3 linked regions of the Xenopus tropicalis genome follow. The protein of the gene in region 3 purifies or fractionates together with the protein of the main gene of each other region. This does not show direct contact. Links are inferred from orthologs where the notes say so. Each region holds a gene or a part of one and is shown on either strand. Other genes may lie near its edges.

The links.
Region 1: the proteins of stx3 (region 3) and vamp7 purify together in Homo sapiens (co-immunoprecipitation; 3 studies listed by BioGRID and IntAct, with this or other methods). This does not show direct contact. The link is inferred for Xenopus tropicalis from reciprocal best matches to the Homo sapiens genes STX3 and VAMP7.
Region 2: the proteins of stx3 (region 3) and vamp8 purify together in Homo sapiens (affinity purification with mass spectrometry; 4 studies listed by BioGRID and IntAct, counting the BioPlex papers as one, with this or other methods). This does not show direct contact. The link is inferred for Xenopus tropicalis from reciprocal best matches to the Homo sapiens genes STX3 and VAMP8.

Annotation. Positions count from the first base shown.
Region 1 is NC_030684.2:65,380,101-65,390,413, reverse strand, and holds the end of vamp7 (vesicle-associated membrane protein 7), read right to left. Parts: intron 9,159-10,313; coding exon 9,101-9,158; intron 8,374-9,100; coding exon 8,236-8,373; intron 6,533-8,235; coding exon 6,442-6,532; intron 5,612-6,441; coding exon 5,544-5,611; intron 5,400-5,543; coding exon 5,307-5,399; intron 5,130-5,306; coding exon 5,061-5,129; 3' UTR 2,119-5,060; downstream 1-2,118. UniProt on the Homo sapiens protein: Involved in the targeting and/or fusion of transport vesicles to their target membrane during transport of proteins from the early endosome to the lysosome. Required for heterotypic fusion of late endosomes with lysosomes and homotypic lysosomal fusion.
Region 2 is NC_030679.2:125,646,865-125,657,277, reverse strand, and holds the start of vamp8 (vesicle-associated membrane protein 8), read right to left. Parts: upstream 5,205-10,413; 5' UTR 5,182-5,204; coding exon 5,167-5,181; intron 1-5,166. UniProt on the Homo sapiens protein: SNAREs, soluble N-ethylmaleimide-sensitive factor-attachment protein receptors, are essential proteins for fusion of cellular membranes.
Region 3 is NC_030683.2:60,557,471-60,567,883, reverse strand, and holds the start of stx3 (syntaxin-3), read left to right. Parts: upstream 1-4,958; 5' UTR 4,959-5,161; coding exon 5,162-5,191; intron 5,192-6,228; coding exon 6,229-6,306; intron 6,307-8,552; coding exon 8,553-8,652; intron 8,653-10,413. UniProt on the Homo sapiens protein: Potentially involved in docking of synaptic vesicles at presynaptic active zones. Apical receptor involved in membrane fusion of apical vesicles.

The sequences.
Region 1 (10,313 bases), on a different chromosome or scaffold from region 3:
GTTTTACTAGTATTAAGTATTAAGTCCAGCTAAGCTATTCTAACCTTATTGTTTTAATTTTTGTCTTTCGTTTAAACTTTAGGTTTTTTCTGTAAGATAAATGTTGTGCCTCTGAGTCAGTCAGGCATATTGGGCAAATTTACACCAGGGTAGGAACCCATAGCAACCTATTAGTATTCAACTTTTTTTCGGCCAGCTGCAGGATGAATAGAAGCTTGGCTTTGGAGTTATGGATACTAATCCATTGGTGAAAATGTGCCCATTGTTATCATTAGGGTGTTTATTCTTGTTGTGCTTAATAACTGAGGCATTCACTGCTTAACAGAATGTTCATCTCTTGCCTTGTATGGAATGTTAGCAAGCACATCAGAACCTTCTTTACGTAATGGAACATCAAGAAAATTCCTATTCTCTATTTTCTAACCTTAAGATTTTTAAACTCACAATACTTGCAAAACTAGTAAAGAGTGATCCTCACTGTTGACATGCGAGGGACAGAATTTTCCCTTACCCTGTACTGCAAAACTAACACTTCAGCTGCTTCAAGTGCATACTGGAAGGCCTTAGGTTAGACTTACTTTGGTAGTAATGTTCTAATTTTTATCATTTTCTCTACACAGTAAGTTGCATATTTTTACTTGGTGCAGATACTTGGAGAGACTGGTTAGACCAGTCTCTCCTTTCATGAGGGCAAAAAAAGAATGTAAAATGTGACAATGTTTATATATTCAGCTTGTTCTGTAATAGTTGAACTATTTGTGATGCCAATACATGAAGAAGAGAAACAGGAGCATAGCTTCCACATCTCTTTTCTTAAAGGAAAACTATACCCCCAGAATGAATACATAACCAACAGATTTATTTTTAACAGTTTATATCATGTTACGTGATCTATTAAAGATATATATATCAGTAAATATTGCCCTTTTACATCCTTTCCCGTGAGCCCCACCATTTAGTGATGGGCTGTGTGCTCCCTCAGAGATCACATGACCAGAAATAATGCAGCTCTAACTGTAACAGGAAGTAGTGTGGAAGCAAAAGACAGAACTCTGTCCATTCATTGGCTGATGGAGCCTAGCATGTGTGTGTGCCTTGGCTTGTTTGTGTGCACTGTGAATCCTATAATCTTAGGAGGCGGCTCTTTATTTTTAAAATGGCAATTTTCTATTTAGGATTACCCAGTAGCACATACTACTAAAAAAAAGTATATTCTGAAAATTATTTAAATGAAGCAGGGTTTTACATTGAGACTGTTCATGCAATTTTATTATATATTTTAATTATTTTATATAGAGACCTACATTGTTTGGGGGGTATAGTTTTGGTTGTTGCCTCTTTACAAACTTCAATGCAACAGTAATTTAAATGAGTACCAATCCTACTACCCAACAGTTTAGAGGCCTGGATCTAACCTGGAGTTAGAGATGTGCAGGTTGACAGTCAACCTGAACCCGCCTGCCCCCCACGCTCTGCCCGGCAGGACACCTTTATTTATAGACCTGCACTCGCCCCTCTTTGATGTCACAAAAGAGCCAGGGCAGACACGTGTCTATAAATAGAGGCTGCTGGAGCCAGAGCTTAACCTAAACCCACCCTCACCCCACAAATACTGTGTGAATGTCACCCCGAACCCTCCTGACCTGTGGGTTTCAGAATCACTGATAATCTCAAAAAGAGCTGCTGAGTTTGAAAGCATGCTATTAGCATAAAAACTAGCAATATTCTTCATTAGACTGTTGCACTGTGCATAATTAATATTTGCAATTAAGTATTTAAGGCCTGCCTAAAGTTGCTGTACAAAAAAAACCAACTTATTCTTAGTAAGAAGTTTTATTACATACACTGCACACTAGGGATGCACTGAATCCAGGATTTGGCCAAGACTGCTTTTTCGGCAGGATTTGGATTCAGCCATATCCGTGCTCATGGCCAAACTGAATCCAAACTGAATTTGAATTTGAGCGAAGGGAAAATTGTCTGCACAAAGCATTTATTTTTTCACATTTCCAATGAAGACTTATTACATTCACCCCAATCACAAATTGCAAAGGTGCTTAGATGGCCACTCATGGGACTATGCAAAGTACCCATCTATGAAAAAGGCAACAATGTATGTTTGGTATATAGGTTACTTTATTAACAATCCTTCATTTGATTGGCAAGCACCACAATAAGTGGACTAGAATCACAGCTGTTTGGAATTAAATATTCACACCAGGAAATCCAAAACCAAAGTCCAACTTTAAATTGTCATAAATTGTTCTGACTCCGTATTCCTAAAAGTAGTACCCAGAATGAGAGTTAACACCCAAAGAGCGTTACTGTTTAGAGCAGACAGAGAGGCATTTCTTCCATAGAAGCTAGAGAAAGTCACAGCATCTACAATATTACATTGGCTTATAAATAAGAACAGGAGGCTCCTGGCAGCAGCAGAAAGAGCAGCCATGGTTTCCAGTTAGCCAATGGCGCATGTTAGTAGTGATTATATTCTTCTGAAAAATACTGCAGAAGTTGTGCATATACTGGACTGGCAAATCCCGTCTCTATCCTTCCAGGCCTGCACTAGTCTTTATTCCTCTGTGCAACTGTCTAGAAGGAAGTCCAAACAATGCAACATATATGGCAGGTAAAGTAATCAGAGTACTGTGCACATACTAATAAAGGTGACTAGTGTCCTGGCAAATCTCACTGTTTACAAAAAGACTGGTTTAAAAAGCAGTGCTCCAGTACTTTAAGATAAAGGAGAAGTGATTTAAATAATATATTTGTGTAGATGTGTTTAGCTAACTGTGTGTTACCTGACTGCAGGAAAGATTTGCAATTACAACTGTTTCATTATCTCTGGAATTCTACTACATAAACTGGCATTTTTGTATTTTATCTGCAATAGAAAAACTGCTGTGTCTCTTGCAAACACTGTAACAGGGGAATCCGTAAACCACACCCACCCCAATGCCATTGCAAAATGCAGAAATAAACCAGGAAAGATTAATTCTAGGTATGAGAGGAGCTGAAATGGAAGTAGCATATCAACATACCTACCCATAATATCTTGCTAAAGGGTAAACTAAAGGCCGCATCAAAAAAAACCCACCCAGATAGCCACTTATAGTGGATTAATTAAAAAAACAAAAAAATGAAGACATCACAACTTTTCTCAAAATACCATCCCTGCAATTGCTTTAACTTTGTTTTGGTTTTAAGACAAAAACATAAAGATGAGTGATAAACACAGTGCTATTGTTTATTTCAGTACTGTTTCTATGTACATTAAATCATGTCTGTCCCATTTGCAGGATTTCACAAAGATTATGATGTGATTTTTAATGTAATTAAATGTAATGTAATCCAGTGACCTTTCATACACACACACACACATTTTTAGGTTTAAAAAAAAAAAAAAAAGGAGGGGGTCCATAAACACAGAAATATACATGTGGACAGATAATTAGAATTTTTAGAATCTGAGTTTGCTTGAATATTTCTGGGTGGTTTTGCCATTTACACAAACAATACATGCAGCAAGCCACACATACACATATATATATATATATATTGCACATAGTACAGCTTTCCAGCTTATTACACTCAAAGAAGTCAAGGTTTGCCATCCCGACTCGTGCTCATCCTTTTGCAACTTTGATACGCAGGATCACTAATCTCCCATTATACACTGGTCGTAAAAGTGCTAAGCAATCAAGTAAAGTTCTTTCTATAAGCTCTCATTACAAATCTGCTTGTTAAACTGGTAACTTTAAGATAGAAACACAACAGGATATATGAAAGACTAAAACAAACATGGATTATGTCAGCTTCATTCCAAGTTATCTTAGGCATGCTTGTCTTTTAATAGTGCTATAATAAAATGCAAGCATTAAGCCCTAGCCTAATGGCACATGTGGTCAATACTCTGCTGCCTTTTTGCAACTGGCTGAAAAGTGTCTGAACCTGTCAGTGGAGGCTTTCACAGTCAGGTTTGGGCAGTTCTCTGCCAGTAGAAAAATGCCAGCAGGAAATAAGGCATGTGTGCCATCAGCTGATGCCTGATTTCGCTGGGTCTTAATAGTCAGCAGTAAACTCAGTGGATGGGATCATATATTTTCTCAATGACCCTCAGAGGTGCAAGAACACTTAGCCCTCAACAGTGAAACAAAAGAAGTCTAACTTCCAATGGCATGTGTAAAGAATTTTTGATTTTCAAGTAGCTTCACAGCCTGGCATCATTTCAGACACAAATGCATACAAACATTAACAACGAGGGCCTGTCAAAAAAAAAAAATTAACATAATATATATATATATATATATATATATATATATATATTTTATGAGAATACGTTTTCTTTCTGTTGATCAGAAGTGCCTTAAAGATTTTTGACATTTCTGGGAAATATTAGTCTATCCCACTACTGGGTATACAACGATAAAAACAGTTTCTTGGAATGAGAACAAAATCTTAATACATTTTAACAATTTAACATGAACTACCGGAAAATGTGTGTCTAAATGAGGCACATGGAATTGGGTATGGCAAACAGTATATTACAGTGGGTCAACCAACCAAAGGTGCCAAATGACACACATAATCCAAAGCATCCAATGCAATATGCCCAAATGGCACCAGCCACAAAATGAATATTTCTCTAAGAACAGGGTTAAAAGTGAAAGGAAAAAAGTTTTCAGTTAAGACTAAAAACGCAAACTCTTTGCAGATACAAGTCATGGAAGTTAATGAGTATTATCAGTGGCACAGTACTGACAAAAAAAAAAATCAACAAAAAGAAGAAATGCCGATCTGTATTCACCAATTTCTCTTCCAACTCACTGTCTGCACAAGATGATGCCGCACACTCCTCCTTTTCCCTTGTATATGTCGTAGAGAGATACAGTAGAAGTCCACTAGGGATGGAAGGATGAGAGAATAATGAAGAGGATAAGTCATCGCGTCCAAGGGAAAAGGCTTCTTTTTAAAGTCTCTTTTCTACAGGATGCTACACATGTGAAACAGTAGTGCACTATTTTCCTCATTCTTGGACAATCCTCATGCACTAGAAAACACTACTTATTCACACAGCTTGGCCATGACAGTCCCCCACATGCTGCTGACACAATAATGTAGATGATAACCTATAGGAGAAGGGAAAAAAAAAAAAGATAAATACATTTTGCATAATAAATACTTGACTATTTGCCCACATCTAGTAACCCATAGCAACCAATGTAAAGTAATGAAAACCCCTATTACGTTGCATTTACCAAACCACTTTAAAAGCAACAGCAAGTGAGGAGGAGAGCAGCACTTACTATGGTTACAATAGCAATTATGATGGTCAACTTCAAATTTTTCATGCACATAGCTCTGGCCAAGTTTCTGCTTGTGGTCTTGAACGTGACAGACTTTAAGAAAGTGATAAAGAATAAAATTTAGTCATCAACATAATTTGAACACTAGCATTTTATAAAATGAATAAAAGGACTAAGAAATCGACATAATTCCAGTAGAGAAAACAATTTTAAAAACAGTACCAAATGCATACTTACAGAATCAACAAGGCTTTCTGTTTTATCTATCAGTAGCTCTAACCGTTCTCCTCTTTGGGCAACCAGATCTGGAAATAAAAGGCAAGGTAAATCTGTGTCAGAGAAGTGACAGTTTTCAGGCTCCAGTTTTAGGATCAAACATAAATGTAGATTCCAAGTGTTTTGTCACCTGCCCAGCTGGAAATTGCAGGGACAACAAAATGCCCTGAAGTGCTCCAGGTGGCATTGCCCTTTATATGAATAAATTACTTTAATTTACTGTTCATACTGGTCAGCCCAAACCTGGCCAACTTGTGCATCACTAACATACAGGGCAGAAATGCAATTTTAAAATGTGTATAAAGCATATCATAACGCCCACATTTTTTAGGACCCAGAAACCCCTGCTTGTGCCACTGGCCTCAAAGCCCAATAACAATGTAAACAATGTTGATTTGTCTCCCAGGGTTTTTTTTTTTTTGTTTCCTCAAACATGTAAGCAAAATTCTCAAAAATGGCATCTGTGCCAATCTCCTAAAGAACAGCTTATAGATTAAGCAAGATTAAATTAGTGCAATGAACTATGTCCAACTTATGTTGAGTCCCTTATCCGTATTATTAGATTTAAATCCAGCGAGAACATCATCTGCAACAAGTCTGCATATTTTCCCTGTGCTTGTGTGGAATTCCTCCGTTTCTCCAGTTTCCTCCCACATTCCAAAAAAGACAGAAATGTTATTTGGCACTGATTACAGTGTGTGAATGCTAGGGACCTTGGACTGTAAAATCCCCTGGGACAAGGGACTAATGTGAACAATGTAACATCTCTGCAAATAACTGTCAGCACTATATTATATGAAAATGGATATACAGTAATAATAAAAACATTAGAGCAAACATGTCTGCAGTTTGTACTTACCTATATTTCGGACCATAATTCCTTTAAGTTCATCGACTTGTGCTTGGGTCTCTGCTACACGATCAATACTCTTATTTTCAGAATGGTATTTCTAATAAAAGATAAGAAATATGTATTATAAATGCCCTGTTAAAAAATGTAGTCCACATCATGACTAAATATGTACTGTGAATGGATAGGTGTTTACTTTAAAGCCATACAGACTAACTTCTTATCACTTTGGTTATTATATTAATATATGCTTGCCCAAAAAACACATGTAATACCTTTAGTGTGAATACCTACAGCATGCCATATAAGAAACTTCTTGTACAACTTTGATACTTTGTTATAACTTTCTGAATGGTACAAATATAATTATGCCCAAGTCCCTCTGAAAAAGTTAATGTAATATTCAGCATTTGCAGACAGAAAGAGCATCTTCAGCTGTGCAAGAAGACTTATATGGATGGACCACCATGTATTGTAGTGCAGTCATTTCTAATGATTTTGATAGTAACGGATATCAGAGATACTCTCAAGAGTTTCCTGAAAATCTAGGCACTTTCACTACCTGTAGTGTACTGGTAAGGGACCTGTTACCCAGAATGCTCTGGACCCGGGGTTTTCAAGATAAGGAGTATTTTGTAATTTGCATCTCCATACTTAAAATCTACTAAAAAACATATAAACCTTAATTAAACCAAGTAGGATTGTTTTGCCTCCAACCAGGATTAATTATATCTAAGTTGGGATCAATTAAAGGTACTGTTTTATTATTACAGAGAAAAAGGAAATAATTAAAAAAAAAAATTAAATTATTAGTTTAAAATGTGGTTGATGGCCTTTCTGTATTTCAGAGCTTTCTGGAAAATGAGTTTCTGGATAAGGGATGCCATCCCAGTACTCTACAGAATTCCTCATCCATAGGGGATCAGTCTCCTATCTAGCCATGACTTGACACAAAGAACTATTCTAAAAATTACCCGAAAGGCCTTCTGTACAGGTTAACTCTGCTGAAAATGAGCAGCTATAAATATTTGTTTTAACAAAGTGTCTATACAATTAACTTACTAACACATCACCTTTGTGACAATCAATCAATCCAATTTTTGTGTCTAGTCCCGAAAACATACTAATTACAAAAAAAAAAAACACCACAAGGATCAAGGAATGTTCACACACTTGTGTCTGTTGTGAATCAAGATCACATGTTACCATGTGACAGGCTTAGAGAGATTCTATTCATAATCAGTTAATGCTCTCAAGATAATTAACTGGATATCTATAAGGCACTGTGTGAAAGGCCATTTGCTTGCAGCTAAGCAAACCCAGGTACTGCCGCTTTGCTTTTCAAATTTACCTTCAATGTCTAGTTAACATTGTAAATGGTACACAGATGTTATTCATGCTGTTTTGCAATTGGTCTTTATTCTATTTTCTGTTATTTTAATTATTCACCTTTGTATTCTGAAATATAAATCTATCTGGTTAGTAGGGTCAGTAATCCAATAACAAAAAGCAGATTGACAGTGTACGAGGATAGATTTGCATTATTACACATTATTTTATTCAGGCCAACTTCTGTTGTTTAAATCCCCACCTGACTACTCGATTCACTGACACTAGTATCCAAACAGCAGTTTAAATGGCAAACTAAAGAACTACAGAACAACCAAACATGATGAATGGCACAATCTTGTAATAAGACTGTATACAACATACCAAAATTACATTTTAAGATAAAATACCCCATTAACAGCACAAGGATGTCTGTAACACAAAATGTCCAAGAATGCTCCTGAGGTTTCTTACCAACTGTGCTGCAATCACACTAGAAAATTCACTGTTCATGGCATAGGGAAGTGCTGTCTGTGCCCTTGATCCATATGTTGTCTGAAACCGCTTCTTAATTTCATTCAAGAAATTAAATGCTCTGGAACGCTCAAAGTCCTGTCAAAGCAGAATCATGTATTAACAGGGAAGCTAGCAGTAGCTCAGGCAAATTTGCAGACTGCCTGTACTAGTGACAAAGCAAACTTCAAAGTTTACAATCGTAAACTGTAAAACACCAATTATAGACCTAACAGTAAAAGACATATGAAGATGTAGCAAAGGCATATTACATAGAATCTCTGAGCTATAACCAACATGGCTATGTGAACAAAATTAAATAGAAGGAACGTCATTTTGGCATTTTACTGCCAAAAGATTTGCCACATTAGTGCCACCTAGAACAATATATTTATTCTGCAGAAACCATTACCATACCTGAGTAAACAGCTTTAGAAGCTTTCTCCGTTTGCTTAAGATAGCAGCTGCCATTTTAAATAGCTTCCTGCCTGCAGTCTAGTTATAGCTCAGATCACACATTCCTAAGGGAGGAGGGATGGAGTTCTTAGCATTCTTGTAGGAGGAGAGAGCAATAGAGGGGAGAGGAGAGAACTGTGCAGACTATGGCCACAGGAATTGAGGATGTTTCTGAGAGAGGAAGTCAGACACTGGAACATGTTTACAAAAAAAGACACAAAATCCTGTGTTTCTTTTGATAGAGAAGCAGCATTACTGTGAGTGCTTAAGGCTGTATTTACATAGACCTTTCTAATAAAGCTTCCTTAGTTTTTACATTTTTTTCTTCTTTATCAAACATGCTTACAAGAGGATCATTTCTGGTACTTACATCATCAGTTATACAAAGGTATATTATTCTGTCTTGGCAAATGTAATGAAACAAATAGCTGAAAAGGAAGTACAGAAGCAAAATTAGTATCTGGTACTTTTTTTTTCATAACATTTGCATTGTGCAAACAAATAATAAGCACTTAAGACTGATTGAATTAGAAAAACCAAATAAGGTATAATACGCTTACACCCAATTAAAAAGTAGCAGCAAACTGTGTACTTAATAAAACCTAAAGACAAACGATGCTATTAGGTTAAAAAAAGATATTACAAAATGCAATACTTCTGCCAAGCATACAGTATCTCAAGATTGTTCTTGAGATTAAGTTATAAAACTTATGCACATGATATGACAAAAATAGAACACTTAAACGGATGTGAAGACTTATTTACTAAGCATAATTTCAACCACTAGGCTCATAAAATGTGCACTATTTAGCTCTATATTTGTCAGATTGGCAGAACCTGCATGAGTGCTTTCAGCCACACCTGTTGCTAAAAATCATAGCAGTTGAATGAGATTCTACCTCATGGAGTGGTAGTGGAGTGTTCAACATTAGTAAGCAGCAGTGCTAAGCACTGTCACTTGTATAAATACATGCATATCACTTGCAGTAACAAAAGATTTGAACAATTGTTTTACAAGCTGGAAATTATATAGTGCTGAAAAGAAACTGTGGGATCATGATTTTTATGGTATACTTATATACATCTCTTAATTACACTGTTTACATAGCAAATAATTCACTCTACCATTTAAAATGTTATTCTTGAACCAACAAATGTATTTTTTAGTTGTAATATTGGTATGTAGGCCCAATTTCAGTGCATTGTGCCTTAGTCTGAGCTTTCACATTAGAACTGCTTTCAGGTAACCTATTGTTTCTCCTACTCCCATGTTCTGCTGATCGGCTGCTGGGGGGTGGAAGGGGGGAATATCACTCCAACTTGCAGCTCAGCAGTAAAGTGTGATTATCAGAGCACAGATTACATGGCTATGGCACCCTGGGAAATGAAGAATATGGATAGCCCCATGTGGAGAAAAAAAAAAATCTGTTTGTGTTTTTGAATAATGGATTTCAATGCAGGATTCTGCTGGAGAAGCTCAATTAACTGATGTGTTTGAAAAAAATATGATTTCCCATGACAGTATTCCTTTAAAGAAGAACTAAAGCCTAACTAAAGAAGTAGGGTAGACAAGTTGTACATTA
Region 2 (10,413 bases), on a different chromosome or scaffold from region 3:
AGGCACTGAGTTTAATGCAGAAAAGCATATCTTTATCAGATAACAGACAACCTTAAACAGTTTCCCAATGTTTACTGTGGTATTAATCATAGTAATAATATTCATTATTTAGAATTCTATATGTTGGAATGAGAACAGCCACATTTATTTCCTCTCTCACAGTTAGAGGCCTCTCTGCACAGCCCGGCTCCTTTGTGCTCAACCCACACGAGCGGTCTGACTATCAGGGCCGGACTGGCAAATGCCAGAGGGGCTGCTGTAAGATGCCATAGACAGTCACTATTTATTGGGCTGGGGGGGGAGCTGTTTGGGCCTTGGAGTACTTCAAATCCCAGGGCCTATTTTAAATCCTAGTCTGGGCCTGGACTCTGTTGTATGCAACAGGACAGAAAACCAGGCTGGTCAGCCTGCTCTGATCATACAGGTCAGCTCTATTTCTATGGTGACACCACACCCTAAATGAAAAGGAAGGATGGCCCCTGCCATTTCCTGTAGCTTTCCCCACACACCAACGAGGGTCATCAGCCAACAAGATCTTCAGCCTGACTGCAACCATTTCCCATCATTGACAGAATGGGCTGCACGCAAAGTGATAGATAAGATCATATGTTACTGAATGTAAAGCTGGCCATACACGCACCGATAATATCGTACGAAACCTCGTTTTGTACGATATTCGGTGCGTGTATGGCAAGTCGGCCAGGTTGAAAGATTTTGGTCGGGCACCATAGAAGGCGCCTGAGCAAAATCTGCCATCAGGGCTGAATTGGCAGAAGGAGGTAGATTGTTTTAGATTGTTTTTTTATTGTTTCTACCTCCTTATCTGCCGTTTCAGCCGTGAAGGTTAGTGGCGGATTTAACGATCTTTCGTGCGACCATCGGTTGCAAATCGCCACCTTAACATTATATTCTCTACAGATGCAGACTGCCTTGCCTTAAGGGGGCCATACACGGGCAGATTTAAGCTGCTGATTCGAGTCCTTTACACCAGTTTGGAAGGTTATCAGCCTGACGCCCTACAAGCCTCCTCGAACAATATCTGGCTTAGGTGGGCATATTGGGAAAAGATCCACTCATTTGGCGAGGTCCAACGTGTATGGCCACCTTAAAGGGGTGGTTCACCTTTGATTTAACTTTTAGTATGTTATTGAATGGCCAAGTTCTAAGCAACTTTTTAACTGGTCTTTATTATTTTTTTTTTTTAGTTTTTTTAATTATTTGCCTTCTTCTTCTGACTCTTCCCAACAATCAAATGGGGGTCACTGATCCCAGTAGCCAAAAAACTATTGCTCTGTGAGGCTATAATTTTATCGTTACTGTTGCTTCTTATTACTTATTTTTCTATTAAGGTCCTCTCCTACCAGCCTCTCATTTAAACCACTCCGATTGCTAAGGTTAATTTAAACCCTAGCAACCAGATAACTGCTGAAATTACAAACTGGAAATCTGCTAAACAAAAAGTCAGAATTACTCTCTACATCAGGGGTGGCCAAAACGTTGATGGCGGTCCACCAGTCGATTTCCCATGGACTTCTGTTGGACTGCGTCTAAGCCTTGAAATGCGGCACTTTTATGTGGTGTGCATATGTATGCTGCGTCGTGTACGTACACAGGGAGGAGCCAATTGCAGTGCTAAAAAGTCTGGGCACCCCTGCTCTACATCATACTAAAAGTTAACTCAAAGGTGAACAACCCTGTAAGCCACTGTCCTAAAGTTGGCTATTCACATCTAGATTTGGTTGGGTAGATTTGCTTAAGCAAATTAACTTTAGCAGGAAATTGTGGCAGAGCTTACTGCAATCTGAACTCCATAAGTTGAATTTTGGAGCCATACTGTGATAAAGTGTACATATATGGATCTTTAGGGTGTTACCACACCCTCACATTTTAGGCCCATTCCATTTATAATATAATGACTATAAAATCTTATACACTTATTTATAGGGATATATAATTCCTATACCCTATAAATATGAAAATATTAATACATATATATATATATATATATAGACACATGTTCATCAAGTGCAAGCAGGCCTGGACTGGGAGTCAAAATAGGCCCTGGAATTCCAAGTACACAGAGGCCCAAACAGCCCCCTACCAGCCCAATAAATAGTGACTGACTATGGCATCTTACAGCAGCCCCTCTGGCATTTGGCTGAATCCACAGATTGCCAGTCCAGGCCAAGATATGAAAACCCCCTATACAAACTAATAAAAGGCCCCAGCAGGCCACTTTGTTACTTAAGTACAGTCTCTATTTAAATTCCTTTAGGTTACATCCCAGAATGAGTCCCCATGCTGTTGGACGTTGGCCACGAACAGCCCCTTTAGAATGTGACATTATTTATTACAATAGAAATTATAATGAAAATGAGGGGCACAAATGTTTCTAAATCAGTTTTTGGGTCATGTGGCTAATTCTCTAACAAAATTTAATACCCTTAAAAAACAAAAGATTAAGAATCACTGCATTAAACATATCATTTGTTCTATGAGGGATTGTCTCGGTAATTCCTCCCCTGCATCGTCCTCAAGACAATGACGCACACACTCTTAGGCCGCACCCCCAGAACCTGCTAATAACAAACAGGTTATTCAATAATAACAGCTTTGTGCAGCTGATAATAGTTAGGGATCAGCCTCGCTGCCTAGGGAGGGAGGATGCAGAGAAGAGAATAAAATACACAAGAGAGTACAGTAAATACCAAAAAATGAGAAAGTATTCTTTGAGCTACAATATAATGTCAATGACTTAGGGCGTTATAAAGGAAGAAAGTGATCTGCACAGAGGTTAGTAAATTAAATGTACACCTAGGAGAGAGGGACAGGCTGGAAAAGTTTCAGGATCTAGTGGTAAAAGGTTAGTTCCCCTTTAAACCAACACTGAATATGATTTAAACAATGATATTGTGAGAATTTTCAACTGGTCTTTTTATGGTTTATGGACATTTTTTTTGTTTTTAGAATTATTTAGCTTTTTGTTCAGTAGCTTCCCAGTTTGAAATTTTAGCAGCTATCTTGTTGCTAGGGTCCAATTACCCTAGCAATTAGCCACTGGGATGAAAGAGAGATTGGAAGATGAATACAAGCCTGAATAGATAAGAAATAAAAAGTAACCATAATATTGGAGCCTCAGAGAGCAATAGTGTTTTGGCTGCCAAATCCCCATTTGAAAGCTGGAAAGAGCCAGAAGAGGATGCAAATAACTCAAAAAAATGAAGACCAACTAAAAATTTACTAAGAATAGGAAATTCTATTCTATTCTTCCCCAGATGGAAGAATTTGTATTTATGTATATTTTTATTCATATAGCGCTCCTTAGGCAAGCAGTACTGTTGCGCAGTAATTAAACATTGCATGAAATTGTGCTATAGCGCCCCTCTATGGCTGCAGCCTGGTGGGGAAGTATTAGGCGTGCACCAAATCCAGGATTCTGATCCTGGGATTCAGTAGAAAGCCGGCACTTTTCTAGCTTCTCAGACAAGACAGTTGGTAATGAAAGACATCATTAACTTGATCCCGGCTCCCGCAAGATAAGGGTTACAGCACCCTCCTTGGCCTATGTGTCACTGTCACAATTATAGCCAACCTGACGACGTCATCCCATGTACACACCTATCTGCGTCCTGGAAAGTCTGAAATGTCTGCTTAACCCATGCACTGCCTGAATCCCAGAGAGGAGGGCCGGGCACTGATCAGATTAGAGAGAGAGATGATGACTGACACCCTATATTCATTATTGGAATCTGAAGACTTGAATCACTGTTTACACACAATGCAAAGGAATCTGCACACTCACACTGCGTCTGTGCAATTCCCAGCTGTACACACGTCCCGACAGGTGCAGCCATGGCACAATGGTAACCATTAGTGATTAATAACAAAGCGCCCAATAAATTATGGTGCCGACACGAGCAAATGCCACAAGATACAACACACATTTACCTATGTTCATCAGTTGATGCAAATTCATAATAAATGCCTCCAGATGTTGTCAAACTACAACCCCCACACCCAGCAAGATGCTAAGATCCACACGTTGCTCATTCCCTAGTTTGCGCCATATATTTTTACAGCAGAAAAACAAATAACACAAAATATCTGATACTACAGAAAATATTATGTTTTGCCCAAATCAATGAACTTACAGAGCCAGCAGTTAATATGTAGTCAAGAGGATAAAGAGCCTTTGTATAGTCCAGTTTCCCCCTTGCCTGAACATTACAGGATCCCTAGAAGTTTTTTCTTTATGGATAAATAACTTTTTTTATACCGATACTCATGCCATACATACTCAGCAATACAGGGTTAATGTAATAACAGGTGCAAAGTTTGCCCCAGTAACCCCTAGCAAACAATCATATTTATCTTTAGCAAATGCCCCTACTAATTGGTCCCTATAGGTTTTTAGAAGTGGAGCAAACTTTGCACTTGGTAGCCCATTACCGCCCAGTACTGTGAAACTAAGTACACAAGCAATTTCCTTTATTAACCACAAACTGCCCTTCAAAAGGAAGATGCAATAACATATAAAGGCTGCCTATTGCTGGGGCTCCTAGCTAATGCCCTGGCTCTGATCTATAATCCACATCCCCAGTGGCCCAGAGAAGCCCCATACATTACTGTTCCTCCATACATTACTGTTCCCCCATGCCCCTCTCCCCCAGTCTGTCATTATCCTCAGTAGGAAGTAAACAGCCCGATCCAAAGTCCAACAGGGATCTAATCTCCTTCATGTGCCCGTCCTGCTAATCTCTCTGCACTCTCCTTCTCAAACCCTTATTGCTAAACGCCATTTCCTCCTGTCTCCCTCTGTACAATGGTACATTCCTGCGCCCCCCCCCCCCCAACTTCATTCCATTGCCCTAAGCATTAGCTACCGGCCCGACTTCTGTCTCCCTGCCCCTACCCCTCACCGGCACAGCAACACTTTCCCCACCTTCCCTGCATTGCCAGGGACCCTCTTATGGAAACTATAACTCCCAGCCCCCCAACCAAGAGCTGCCAGGGAAGTGTAGCAGTTATAGTTCCGCAAGAGCTCAGGCGCAGAAAGTTGTTCCAACCTAAGTTTTTCAATGCAACAACATTTGGGGGTCCCCAAGTTTCTATCAGCCCCGACCGTACTAACTTTCTACACTCCCCCTCCTCCCTTTAACCACTCACCGGCCTCCTGTCCATGGCTGTCTGTCCCTCTGAATCTGCTTAAGGGGAATTTGTTATTCTTCCTGTTGCCTGTGACTTATGAAAGCGATCCTTCCTCTTCGGGCTGCTCTCCCTCCCACCTCCGGCCCCGCTGCTTCTCCCCTCCCCGCAGGGCTAGTGGGAGGGCCCTCCTCCAGGTATTGTGGGCGGGGCCCCAATGGGGACAGTTTACCTCACAATAGTCGTTCCTTGCTAAAAAGAAAGTAACAGGTGCTGTTTGTGAGGCACAGAGTCCCTAGAACAGAGTTTTCAAAGGAAAACGGGTTATGTTCTATAATTCTGTTGAGCCTGCCCATCAGTGGCATTTGACAACCCAAGAGTGAATAACTATATTTTGTGCCCCTGAGCAAAGCTACAGCTAAACTCTAAGGCATGTTCAGGTTTTAACTGTTCAGTTTTTAGCCTTGTAAAACCTTAACAATAATCTGGCCAATAAATGAAAAACATTTAAATATTAAGATAGTCAACATGATTTTTTTTTTCTATTAATAGTTAAAAAACAATTTCTTGTTACTACAGAGAGAAAAAGCAAGTCAGAAATAAGGCATCATTCTTCTAAATTAGCACTGCGGTACTTCAGAGCTTTCTGGATAACTGATTTCTGTGTAACAGGTTCCATTCCTTTAATTACAGGATTGGACTTACTCATCAGGCAAAAATATAGATAGAGCTAGGGTTGTCACCCTTGTGGTTTTGAACTGGACATCCCAGGTTTTCAAAGGTCTGTCTGGTTCAAAACTGTCTGTCCGGTTTGAGCCATTGAAAGAACTGGACAGAAGTGCAGCCAGTTGTGTGTAAGTGATGCAAAACCCTGCTCTGGCATCATAACCTGGTGTGACATCATTGTGCCTGCCTCTGATGTCATCTCACCCACCCCCAGCATCACTGCCCCACCCCTGATGTCATTTGCCCCACCCTTTTTTTCAGGTTTCGCCACCAACAAAGGTGGCGACCATAATTTCAGATAAGAATGAAATGAAATTGTCTATCAGTCAGTGACCATGGGCCCTCTATACATCCTGTGTCCCCAACAACTGTAGGGTTTGATCTTCTGTAGTTGCACCCCTGCTGTGGTTTATTCTCCTGTCCTGTCACAACTGAAATTGTATTTTCACAGTGGTTCAGAACAGTTGTGGTGTTTTCTCCATTAGTGGAGATATGTAGCAATAACTTTAGTTATATTTAGTTGTATGAAAAACAGTGTAGTGTTAATGGTCCCTTAAGCCCAGACACCCACCTGATAGTTCCCCTTTATTCTTTTTCCATTTCATTCATTATGGCTAGTACCACACTGGGCAGATTTTCGGTCTGATAGTTCATATTGCTTCGTTGCGTTGGCCAGGTATAGCCACACTAAATGGAATTTAGCTAAAAACTGTCTACGAATGCTGAAGGGGGATAAAATGTAATATGCAGGTTGATATTTTACTACAAAATCCCATTAGGTCCTGCAGTTGGACTGGCCCACCAGGATACCAGGAAAACTTCCGGCGGGCCCAGGTGTCAGTGGCCCCTCTTGCTTCTAACTATTTAGCCTATTTCATGGCCATTCCCTGTTTCTGTATGGGAACAAGGAAGCTTGATGGATGGAAGAATAGAGTATAGTATGTAGAGAAAAGAGACTAGAATAATAAAGAGTTTGAGGGAGGAGAGGAGGACTTAATGTTTTGAGAGTGGGCCCATGGTTCAGGGTTTTCTGGTGGGCCCCTGGCATCTCAGTCTGACACTGAGGTCCTGTGTGTATTAGTGGCAAGCAGGGAGACTCTTTGGGTTAAAATGAGCCCTTCATAACAGTCACTATTTCTTTGCCAGAACTACTTAACAAACAACTGCCCAGTGCAATCACACACTCACAGGCTAGTGCCACACAAATGCCTTACCGAATAAACCACATTGATTACTCTACACTACAGTATCTAGTAGAATTAAGTCTAAAACAACTGGACTTTTCTGAGTTTTTTTTTTTACTCTAGGAACAGCAGTTACATCTAGGTTGCTGCTCACCTTCCTATTACGGCTCAGTTGATAATATAGCTCCTACACATACCCAGCCCATCCCTGCCAATTGCCCAGTTTCAAAACAGAAAGGGGTTATGGTTGGGCTACATCTGGGTAGGGCCCAGGGGCGGGCGATCAGGCGCCCTAGGCAACCCGGCCCTTGCACCTTCTCCCCCCACGCGATAATTCATTGCCGCCACTGCGTAATGACAAGCGGAGGGGGCAATGACAAAGGAGTTAGGTGTAGGCAGGAGAGGCTCCTGCCTGGCGCCCCCCAATCGTTGCACCCTAGGCAGCTGCCTCTTCTGCCTACCCCTAGTTCCGGCCCTGCCTTGGGGCTGAATTAAGCATGTTCCTCACTGTAAGAAGCTGCATTAGAAAGGTTTATGCCAGGTAATTCAGAGAAAATCATACAGTCCTCTACAGGGAAAGGGCGTACAAGTAAAGGTCAGCTGACATACTTGGTACTGAATTTGGTAATGAATTTAAGATACTGTAATTTCCCAGCAGGAAACAGATATAGCAATCACGTGAAGAATTAACTGCTTGTGATTCCTATCTCAGCAACCACTTACTATGAGCCTTCCTAGTACAGTGCAGTGGCTTAGCAGCAGTTACATAAAGCAGTTGTTGAGGGAGCATTATGGCATTATAAAAATGCTCTGGGGCGTGGGTGTTAACCATTAGGAACAGCAAAGTCCATATAGAAAAACACAAAAGCAATCCTGCACCTCAAAGAAATTATAGGTAAAAAAATGTTTATGTATTTCTCAATATTTAAAATAATAAATCCCTTTGCCTTATACATTTAATGCCTTCACAACACTTATTCATAGGAATTGAAGGTCTTAGTGCTTTGTACCATTAAGCCCCCGAGTTTGATTCTGTTCTGGGCACCATCCTCCCACAGCCCAAAAACAAACATGCATGTTAATTGCCTCCTGATAAAGTGACCTCTGAGTGTGATGGAAAACTTAAGGTGGCCATACACGGGCCGATTCTAGCTGCCGATATTGGTCTTTTAGACCGATTCGGCAGCTTATCGGCCCATGTAGGGGCATCAAGGATGGGCCTGGAATCAGGAAGATATCGATGGGGCTCGTTGATGCGGTCCCTGAACCGACTGTGCCCATTACCGTTGTTATAATTCGATCGTTTGGCCCCAGGGCCAAACAACCGAATTAGCCTAAATTTGCCCAATATCGCTTGGCGACCTCACCAAACAAGCTGATCTTAATGTGTATGGCCACCTTTAGATTGTAAGCTCCATTGGGGCAGTTAGTCTCTGTTAATGTATCAGTGCAACATAAATACAGGATAATAACAAGATTTATAATAATGTCACAAAAGAACACTTTCTTAATCGCTTAATTTACTGCCAATGATCATGAATGTGCTGTGTCCAACAGCTAATTACATGAATAAATATGGCTCACTATTGCATAACAATGATTAGTACTTAGCACGACAATCACACCCAGCATTTCTCTCTGCAACATTTCCTGTAAGTTTCTGCAGCCTATGCTGTGTGGTGTGTTCGACTGAGTGGAAAATATAGAGTGACCAGACAGTGTGGGCTTATGGTGGGGAGGGTGGGGGTATGGGAAAATGGTTTGAGAGAAGTAAAATAGATACTGAGGGACCAATAATGGCTTAATTTTCTTAGTTCATATTGCTCTAATAGTAAATGCTATTCAAACATCAACAAAAGAAATGGGATTCAGTTAAGGCATTTTAGGTCAATTCATCAAAGGAACAGTAACACCAAAAAATGAAAATGTATGAAAGTAATTCAACTATAATGTACTGCTGCCCTGCACTGGTAAAGTTGCGTGTTTGCTTCAGAAACCCTACTATAGTTTATATAAATACCCTGCTGTGTAGCCCCGGAGGCAGCCATTCAAAAGGAGATAGATACAGATAAACCCTGTAGAATACAATGGTGTTTACTCAATACACGTTGAGATCCGCTCGCTTGGCGAGATCGGCAAGCAAGCGGATCTTCACCCGATATCCCCACCTACGGGTGGGCGATATCGGGAAGCGTGTAGGTGAAAAAAAAAATCATTCGATCGGTTGGCCATGGGGCGAATTATATTGGCGTCAATGGGGCAGTCGGTTCAGGGACCGCATCAACGAGCCGATGCGGTCTCCGATCCAACTGAATTTTCTAACCTGGCTGATCGATGTCTGGGCAATTTTATGCCAGGTATCGGTCGGGCAGGCCCCTCATTTCTGCCCCTACACGGGCTGATAAGCTGCCCAAGGGACCTTAACTCCTTTTTTTTCAGCTTGAATGGCTGCCCCCATGGCAACAAAACAGCTTATTTATATAAACTATAGTAGTATTCCTGAAGCAAATACACCAGTTTTACCAGTGCAGGGCAACAGTACATTATATTTTAAGTACTTTAAAATGCTTTCATTTTTTGTTGTTACTTTTCCTTTAAAGGGGAACTCCACCAAAAAAACAACTTCAGCTTTTTGAAAAGTAAACCTAACTTCAAGCAACTTTGCAATATACATCAGTTAAAAAATATGCAGCCTTTTCATGATTTTTAATGTAATAATATGGTTTGGAACAGTTCCCGGAGCCCCGCCCCCTGTTCCCCTGCTGATCTGGCTGACTACTTTGAGACTCAACAAAAATCCCACAACTTCCTGCATGTGTGTTATCAATAAGGAAAGGAACATCACAGTGCAATGCATTGTGGGTTATGTAGTTCCTGCTGTAACTATTGCACAATGAGATTTAGAAACAGCACAGAAACCACAGTACTTCAGTATGAATTCACCTTTTATTGGTGCGTATCACAAAATGTTTTGGGAACTTATCCCTTTTTCAAGTGATGATGATATGCACCAATAAAAGGTGAATTGCAGACTGAAGTACTGCGGTCTCTGCGTTGTTTCTAAATCTCATTGTGCAATTGTTATCACACTGTGGATGGTGTGTGTTGAAACAGCAGAAGAAAAGGAAATTTCTTGGATTTCACTCTTTTTCTGACTAAATTACAATTGTAACATCAATGTTTTAGTCCCTCCTCCCTGCAAAGATTTCAAATGATGCAGAAAAAGAAGAACTGTTTTGCAGCTGGATTTCAGCATATAAATTGGTATTTCTAGTTAAGGTGCCCAGAGGCCACCCCCTGTGCCATTTAATCAGCTGTCATATTTTGAGTACAAGTAAAATACTGGTAATTAGAAGGT
Region 3 (10,413 bases):
GGAAGGGACTGTAGTAGACCCTGAGGCAAGGACCTGGATGGCTTGGAACGTTGACAAGTTGGACACGAGTCAACATAATTATTAACATCTTGTCTTAATGTTGGCCACCAAAGGGTACGAGACATGAGAGAACAGGTCTTACTGCGACCAGGGTGCCCAGCTGCCTTAGCATCATGAGCCTCTAAAAAAACTGCCTCACGGAGGTTTTCTGGAACAAACAATTTCCCTGGGGGCACATTGGGAGGAGAGTCAACCTGAGCTTCCGTCAGGGAAGTAAGCAGATCTGGATTCAGAGCAGCTATAATCAACTCCTTAGGGACAATAGGGTCAGGTGGAGATCTCTCCAGAGGGTTGGGGTCAAAACTCCTAGACAGGGCATCTGCTTTGACGTTCTTTTCACCAGGTCTATAAGTTATAATGAAATTAAAACGGGAAAAGAATAATGCCCATCTGGCCTGTCTAGGATTCAAACGCTTAGCAGATTCAATGTACAAGAGATTTTTATGATCAGTGATTACTGTTACTACATGTTTGGCACCTTCCAAGGTGTCTCCATTCAGTAAATGCCAATTTTATGGCCAGTAACTCCCTATTACCAATATCGTAATTTATCTCCGTAGGAGAAAACTTCTTAGAAAAAAAACCACAAGGGTGAATCTTATTCGTTACAGGATGCCGTTGAGACAGGACTGCCCCTGCTCCAATTTCAGAAGCATCTACCTGCAGTAGGAAAGGGAGAGCCGAGTCAGGGTGCAGGAGTACAAGCGGAAACAAAAGCCTCCTTTAATAGTTTAAAGGCTGTTAAGGCCTCTATTGGCCAAATGCTTGGATCAGCACCCTTCTTAGTGAGAGCGGTAATTGGAGCCACTAATGTAGAAAAGTTCTTAATAAATTGTCTGTAATAGTTGGCGAAACCCAGAAATCTCTGTATCGCCCGTAGAGACAAAGGTTGTACCCAATTTACGATGGCCTGAACCTTGACTGGATCCATTTCTAGACCTTTATGGGAAATAATATAGCCCAGGAAGTGAACTGAAGAAACTTCGAAGATACACTTCTCAATTTTTGCATACAAGTGATGCTGCCTTAATCTAGATAAGACCTCCTGAACATGGGCACGATGATCAGAGAGACTATTAGAATAAATCAAAATATCGTCTAAGTACACCACTACAGAGCGACCTAGAAGATCACGGAATATGTCATTCACTAATTCTTGAAAAACCGCAGGGGCGTTACATAACCCAAAGGGCATTACCAGATATTCATAATGCCCATCGCGGGTGTTAAAGGCAGTTTTCCATTCATCCCCCTCCCGAATTCGTATTAGATTATAAGTGCCTCTAAGATCGAGCTTAGAAAAAATGGTGGCACCCTTGACTCTATCAAAGAGTTCGGAAATCAAGGGAAGAGGATAACGGTTTTTAACCGTGATTTTGTTTAAACCCCTGTAGTCAATACATGGTCTGAGACCCCCATCTTTCTTTTCTACAAAAAAGAACCCTGCTCCTGCTGGGGAGCAAGAGGGCCTTATAAACCCCCTCTCCAAATTCTCTTTTATATACTCTTCCAGAGCCTGGGTCTCGGGTAGAGATAAGGGGTAAATTCTACCCTTAGGAGGAGAGGAACCAGAGATTAAATCAATGGCACAGTCCTGTGTGGGGGAAGAGTCTCGGCAGCTTTTTTAGAAAAGACGTCCGCAAAAGGGAAGTAAGGAGCAGGTAGCCCCTGTAAAGAGGTTGCGGCCAGAGCCTGGACGGGTTTCATGCATAAGGTCTGACAATCTGTTCCCCATTGGAGTATACTACTAGTTAACCAATCAATCTGGGGACAGTGCTTACGCAGCCAAGGGAGACCTAGGATCACTGGGGTATGCGGGCAATCTATGATGAGAAAGGAGATTTGTTCCACATGGTGTGACCTTATGGACATGGAACAATTTACGGACTTAGAGGAAATAAGCCCACGACCCAGAGACGTACCATCAATGGCAACTAGCTTGATGGGAGGGAATAAAGGAAGTGTGGTTATTCCGTGCCTGCAAGCAAAATTAGAATCTAGGAAATTCCCTTCTGCCCCAGAATCAATAAATGCCAAGCTTTCCTCACTACTCGTCTCCCATCCCAAAAGGACCGGAACCATGACTTTGGATAAACTAGGTTGGGGAGTGGAAACGACATTGCCCAAGCAGAACTCCCCAGATCTGCTTAGGCTCTGTCGTTTCCCGGCCTTTTGGGACAAGTACTACGAAAATGACCTTTATCCCCACAGTACAAACACAACCCATTAGCCTGTCTGCGATCCTTTTCCTCAGAGGATAAACGGGTAGAACCCAGCTGCATAGGTTCTTCTGAGGGCTTAGAGAAGGCAACCTCAGGTCTAGGTATAAACTCTGTATGAGAGGGTTGTGGAGAAGCTGCGGATACTTTCTCCTGACGTCTCTCCCTGTGCCTCCTATCAATTTGAATGGGCAGATACATTAGGGAGTCTAGGGAGGATGAGGCGGGAAAATTGATCAGGCTGTCTTTCACAGCGTCAGATAGCCCGATTCTAAACTGACTACGTAAGGCAATGTCATTCCACCCCGTTTCTACTGCCCAACGGCGGAATTCAGTACAGTAATCCTCAACCCGTCGTTTACCCTGCCTAAGGTTACGAATAGCGGAATCAGCAGAGGCAGAACGATCAGGATCGTCATAGATAATCGCTATGGCTTTAAAAAAGGAATCGAGGGATGTACGGGCTGGATCGGAGGGTGGTAAGGAAAACCCCCATAACTGAGGATCCCCAAGCAGTAGGGTCATAACAAAATTAACCTTCAGCTCCTCCGTGGGAAAAGAACGAGGGAGGAAGCTAAGGTACAACTTACATGCTTCCTGGAAAGCAAAAAATTTACTACGCTCCCCAGAAAACTTTTCAGGGAACGGGACCTTAGGCTCAAATACATACATTGCTGAAGCTGTGTGTGATGAACCGCCTCCTGGGAGAGAAGCGGGAGTAGGAGCGGCAGGCTGTTGTTGGAGCGCATCCAACCTTTCAGATAGTCTCTGGAGCCACTGGATAATCTGGTCCTGCTGGGCTTCTTGTTCCCTAAGACGCTGGAGGAGATTTGCTCGAATCACTTCAGGGGATGGAGGTGACGCAGCAGCCCCTTCAGGGTCCATGTTTAAGGGCCCAACGTAATGTCACGATCAGTATCCCAAAACCCAGAACAGACTCCAAGGACCCGGTCTCGGCTCACGCTTCTGCCTATAACCGCCACCTTTCACGTCGGGAGGAGCCCTTCGCTACTCGGATGCCGCCAGGACTTGTTGTTAGAGACCCGAGGAGAGAGTTCTGAGCAGGCACGGGAACCAATTGTATGACAGGAAGGTGGGGGAACACAAGCGTAGTCAGGACGGGCCGGGGTCAGCAACAATCGGGCAATGCAGTACAAAGTCAGGATCCAGTAGAATAGTCGGTCAGGCAATGGTCGATTCAGGCAGCAAACAAGAGAAGGTCGGGTACAGGCTAAGGTCAAAACACAGCAGGAACACCAGAGAAACACACCCAGGAACTTACAGGAAGCAGAACCTACGTTGGGCAATGATTTCAAGCTAGAAGCACCTTAATTATTTGAATTTGGCGCCATCGTGACGTCATATGCGCGCGCCGAGCGTAGACGCGCGTGCGCATGCGTAGAGGCGCCGGACGCGAGCGCGCATGCGCACAAGGCAGAAGCCTTAAAGGGCCGCACGTCGCACGCGCCCGCGCCTAGGCCGCCCCACTAGACCACCAGGTACCCTTACACCTACTTTCTATGTGTACTAGTACAGAATATCTTACAACATTAGGCCTCATTTATGATATCAAGTGCAATATGGAAAATGCACTAATATAAGCAAAAGTGAGTGCAAATTTACATTGATGTTATTTGCATTCATACAAACTCATTGTCTGCAAGTACCAATGTGCCCCTTCAGCATGCTGTGAAAAATTACGTACGTAACATATGTAACATGTGTTCAGCATTGCCACAAAGGGTTTCCTTACTGGTTTTATTGATAGTTGCAACTGACTTCCACCAAGTGAATCAGACACAAATTCTATTATTAATTCTGCATGACGGAAGTCATACCATAAATTTTGGTAAAAAGTGTGCACCACTGGGAAATTTGAGAAAATATAGGACCCTGGCTAGATGCCAACCCCAGTATATCCCTACCGGACGATTATCCCACACACAACCCTTGGTGCACTGTGACGAGCTGGTATAACATGAAGTTTTAAAACTGTCACTAAGTTTATAATGTAACTGATTGTACCTAATGATTATGTAAGTACCAATTTATTTTATCTGCTTTTCTTTTGTTTATTTGTGTTTGTTTGTAAAATGCAAAATAAAAACCTTTAAAAAAAAAAGTGTGTACCGCAACTTCTGTGCATACAATACAACTTAACGTGTGCCATTAATAAATTTTGGGCAACAACTAATGCATGAAGTTCTCTAACCCTTTTTAGATGTTTGTTTTATTAATTAAGGCATGTAAAACACATTTAAAAAATATAGACTTTTATTTGGTCTTATAGATTTAGATTTATAGATTTATGGGCAGGATACTTAGGTGTGTCCAGAACATACAGTGCATACAGTGAATTCATTCTTTAGTTCAACAGTGAATATATCGTGTATGTTGTTTTGTCAGTTTGTTACGTGGCTCTTTGCTGCTGATGTACCTGTCAAGGTAGGCATTGTAGCCACCCCTCCCTTTCTCTCCTTTTAGTCCTACCTCTCTCTCTTACATCTTCCTGGAAGGATTAGGGAGGAGCTGTGTTTGTGAGAGAACTGATCAAAGAGAGAGGCAGGGGATTTACAGGGAAACAGCAAGCGAGTAGAATCAGAGAATTAGTGAATCACAAAACGAGGAAGAGAAAATTGACCTCTAAAACAGTTGCTGATCTATGACATTTTAATGGAGCTACATTAAAGAATGGTACACAGAAGGTACACAGAAGAAAAGAATGTTACACTCTGAAGGACAGATTAAGCGTATTGCATATTCTGTTCTCAACTAACACTGGAAAAGGGAACAGATAAAAAAAAAAGCTTTGAAAATAAGCCAGGAGATTACAGAAACGTGAAAAAGAGAAACAGTGACTTTCACTAAGAAGTTTCTTCATCATGAAGGATCGGCTAGATCAACTGAAAGCGGTAAGTCCACAAATCAAAGTAACAGGCAATTGTTGTTAGTGTATGGGAGTTAAAAGGTCTTAAGTGGTTAATAGGAAATCAACATCCACAAACCAGTTTTACAGGTTATTTTCTTGGAACCTCCCATGGCCACAGTAATCTATTTAATGACAAATGTGAAAATTCTGCCACCTGGATGTAAATCTGTCCATCGTTTTTTATGCTTAAACTGTACAATGTGTACTAGCTTCTGTGCCACCAATTAAGTTATCACTAAAATCTAAAATTCAAAGTATCAGTGTACTTGTATTTCCAATGTACAGTTGTTGTATTTGATGACTGATTAACAAACTAGATTTATTGGCTAACTAAAAAGATTATGAAACCATTCACAGAGAGCTGTTTTTCTCACTTAACCATTAGCCTTTGAATTATTCAGTGTAAGAATATTTAACTGTACATTGCCTTTACTTTTTCTCATAAAGGTAAAAATATGGTAAAGATAATTGTGTGCATCAGTATAGTATGCTACAATTTTTAGCAGATTTACTTGGTATCAGCCTCTTCTTTATTTTATTCAAGATATAACTGTTTTGTTTTTTGGACTTGTATGCATACAGAGTTATTTTTCTTGCTACACTGTGTGGTTTTCCCTTCCCCCATTACACAGTTTAAAAAAATCCTTAATAACATGTTATAGGTATTAGAAGATAATCCACTGGCCATCTGCACCAAGAGAGACAGACGCACAGAGAAAAGAGACAACTAGAGTGAGATCAGAAAATAGCCAGCTGGGAAACATTCAGAAATGAGACAAACCGATAGAGCAGCAGAGACAGAAACTGCAAGAATAAAATGATGATATAGACTGGTCACGGGATAGCCAGAGGAAACATGAGTCACATAACTAGTGGCAGAGGACAATAAATAGACTTACAACAGGCTACGTGACATAACCAATAACAAGTGCAAGAACTACAAAAAGATTTGTTTTTTTTTTTACATTTTTTTAAATCTCATTATTATGTAAATAATGTATTGTTTGTTTTATTTTGTAGACAAGAGACACTGATGATCAAGATGAAGTTGACATCTCTATTGACAATGCAGCTTTTATGGATGACTTTTTTTCTCAGGTTAGATCTGATATGTACACATTAAAGGAATAGTAACACTAAAAAATGAAAGAGCTTTAAAGTAATAAAAATATAATGCACTGTTGCCCTGCACTGGTAAAACTGGTGTGTTTGCTACAGTAACACTAATATGATATATATAATAAGCTGCTGTGTAGCCACAGGGGCAGCCATTCAAGCTGGAAAAAAGGAGAAAAGGCACAGGTACATAGTAGATAACAGATAAGTTCTGTAGAATACAATAGTGTTTTATCTGTTATCTGCTATGTGCCTGTGCCTTTTCTCCTTTGAATGGCTGCCTCCGTGGCTACACAGCAGCTTATTTATATAAATTATAGTAGATTTTCTGAAGTAAACACACAACTTTTACCAGTGCAGGGCAGCAGCACATTATATTTTAGTTACTTTTATACACTTTCATTTTTTGGTGTTACTGTTCCTTTAATGATGAGCAAAAGTCCAAAGTTTTGTTGTGCTGAACTTTTGAAGCAGTTTCGTGAAAAAAAATTCCAATGGCAAAATTGCTCATCACTAGTACACATGCTACAAAAACATAGCTCTACATGACTTATGGGCATGTATAAGTGCTCTGTAATTTTGAAAGACACTTAGGGGCAGATTTACTAATCCACGAACCGAATCCCGAAAGAGAAAAAATCGTATTGGAAATGAAAATTTTGCAACTTTTTCGTCGCCGTCACGATTTTTCGTATTTGTCGTGATTTTTTCGTCGCCGGCACGACTTTATCGTATTTTACGCGACTATTTCGTCGCCGTCTCGATTTTTTCGCATTGAGCGATAGTAAACGGCGGAAAAACCAATAAGATTTTTTCGCGATGGCGACGAAAAAGTCGCGGAAAATATACGAAAAAGTCGCGACAGTGACAAAAAAAAGGCGGGACATACAAAAAAGTTGCAAAAATACCGATCATTACGAAAAAACTAATTCGGACGCCTTCGGACCATTCGTGGATTAGTAAATCTAAGACCTAAGACACTTCCTACTGAAAAACTGCTTCCTGTTTTAACACATTTTACATTGCAAGGCTGTATTGGAATCAAAACATATTTGATAACAGGCAATGTGAAAATCAGCTTACACGATGAAATGTTTAGCTGTTCAGCTTAGCAATGGCTATACACTACAGATGTTTCTATGTAGAAATTTATATGTGAAGCAGGAAAAAGGTTTGTTTTTTGGGTTAGATGCAAATCCTTTCTAAAAGTCAAAGAAATATATATGAAACAGAGCACTGGAACAGCAACATAAATGATACCAGATGACACATACATGTAAACTAAAATTACACAAAAACAAAAAAGAAACACTGGGATAAATGTAATTAGAAAAATGTCAAAAGGAAATTTTGAGCCATGTATATTGGGGGCTCATTAATAACCTTATTATTATTATTATTAATAATAATAAAAATTAGGGTACACGTTGACCATACAGATTTACATACAAAGCAACCAATATCCGTAATTAACAATATACAGGTATAGGACCCATTATCCAGAATGCTCGGGACCAAGGGTATTCCGGATAAGGGGTCTTTCTGTAATTTGGATCTCCATGCCTTAAGTCTACTAAAAAATCAATAAAACATTATTTAAACCCCATAGGATTATTTATATCTTAGTTGGGATCAATTACAAGGTACTGTTTTATTAATACAGAGAAAAAGGAAATCAGTTTTAAAATTCTATATTATTTGATTAAAATGGAGTCTATGGGGGACGGGTTTTCCGTAATTCGGAGCTTTCTGGATAATAGGTTTCCGGATAAGGGATCCCATACCTGTACAGGTATGAGATCCCTTATCCCGAAACCCATTATCCAGAAAGTTCTGAATTACAGAAAGGCCATCTCCCATAGACTCCATTATAAGCAAATAATTATCATTTTTAAAAATGATTTCCCTTTTCCCTGTAATAATAAAACAGTACCTTGTATTTGATCCCAACTAAGATATAATTAATCCTTATGGGAGGCAATACAAACCTATTGGGTTTATTAAATATTTAAATGATTTTTAGCAGCCTTAAGTTATGGAGATCCAAATTACCAAAAGATCCCTTACACATAAAACCCCAGGTCCCGAGCATTCTGGATTAAAGATTCCATACCTGTACCAGTGTAATCTTATTTGAATAATTTTCTGAACACCATTGTAACTGACTCAGCCTTATCCTATTTTCTATGTAATGTGCCATAGCTTTATTCACTCTTTTATCTGTTTAGATTGAGGAGATTCGTCAGAACATTGAGAAAATTGCAGAGTGTGTTAATGAAACAAAGAGGCTACACAGTGTGATCCTGTCTGCACCTCTCCCTGAGCAAAGTAAGTAGTTGCACTTAAATTAATACAGATACAAATATACATATGCCCTTAATTCATATTTCTTTAATATTTTATCTTTAGAAGAAGGAAAAGTGCTAAGTGTAAAATATGGCCTAATCCCCCGTGTTTTATACACAGTGTAACATATTTATTGCATGTACAGAATTTTTTTTGTCTTTTGTTAATCATGCCCAACTTGTGTTTATGTCAATATACTGTACATATACATTGCCATTTTCTAGGCACTTAGTAGACATTCAGTTATACACACTACAATGAGGTTGGTATTAAGATAGTTTAAAATAAATAAAATAAATACTGTGAGCGCAGCACACAAAATTAACCCTTGATGTAAAAGGTGACAAAACGCAGGCGTAATTTCTTCTCTGCCTACTGGGTGCTAAGCAATAGGTATTTCTGGTGCTACAATATTTATGCTTAGTGCTGACATCGAACAAATACTTTTTGTATGGTGTTTTTACATATGCTAGTTTGCATCTGTTTTTATGCACTGTTACTGCACCTGCTGCTAGAAAATGAGGTCCTGGAAAAAGAGTATGATAAGAGAGTGAACTGATGTATAGGGGTGAACTTTTTTACAAGCGTAGGGACCCATAGGGTTAAGCTCCCTATGGCTTTATCCCCAACCTCTTCACACCTTTACTGTTATTGGGCAGAGCCCTTATACTCAGGTTTCAGTTATGTAACTGTATTCCTTGTAGGTTTATACAGGTTGACCACTCCTCTTGCAGAAGTGGCTTCCTCTTTGGCTGCCTGTCTGCTACCTAAGCACAGCTCCCTCTGAGCCTGGGTGCAGCAACAGGCCCCAGAAAAGCCAATTCTATCCCAGAGACCCTCTTAACATCTGGAGAAGTCGGGGACAGGGCCCCGTGAACGAGGATAAGCCAGCACAGCAGAGTATTTAATAGCACTTTCTAGGAAAGTGAGCATAGTCAGCTCTAGCTAGAACGGGCAGCCATTAGCGCCACCAAAGGAGTGATTAGATCCAGGAGTAGTTCTCCTATCCGGCAATGTTGCCTCAGTGCAGGGCCACGGAGTAGAGATAGTGGCAGGTAGGATAACCCCTGATCCCTACTCACCCGATGGACCCATCCACTAGAGGTTATCAACCTGAAGGAGCTCCTTCTACTTGGACTACCTCCCAACGGGTACTGGTTGAAAGGTGTGTCTCCCTGCCCAGACTCTAGCAAGAGGTGGGATAAAACGGTGCATACCCTCTCTTCTACAAAAGTGCATTTCCTCATTGTACCATTGCAATCTGCCTGTCTGTGAGTATGATAACCCTGCATAACATCTGTGTCTTGGACCAATAAATCTGTATTATAGTTTATCAGCACCTTTCTGGCGTCCATTTATATCATCTGCACTACACAGTCTCAGAAAGTTGTAGTTCAACTACCCCCTCAGCTCCTATCTTACTTTCTCCCATATAGCGGAGGCCCATCCTGGGAAAGGGGGTCGCATGTAACACATGCTCTACATTATCTACTAGCCTGGATTTACCCCACTATAATCAAAATAGTGTTACACAAGGTTGCATTAAATTATTGGGAACAGGGTGAAATATGTTGGTGCTTTATAAATATGTGTTATAATAACAGGGGGCCTCACCACCTGGGTGCAGTTGAGAACAGTACTCACTATTATACAGGTTGGTTCAGTGTAATAATATGTACATTTTTAGGCAATAGCACACAGGACACAGACTTACACTGTTAAAATGCAAAGTGCAGTGTAGAT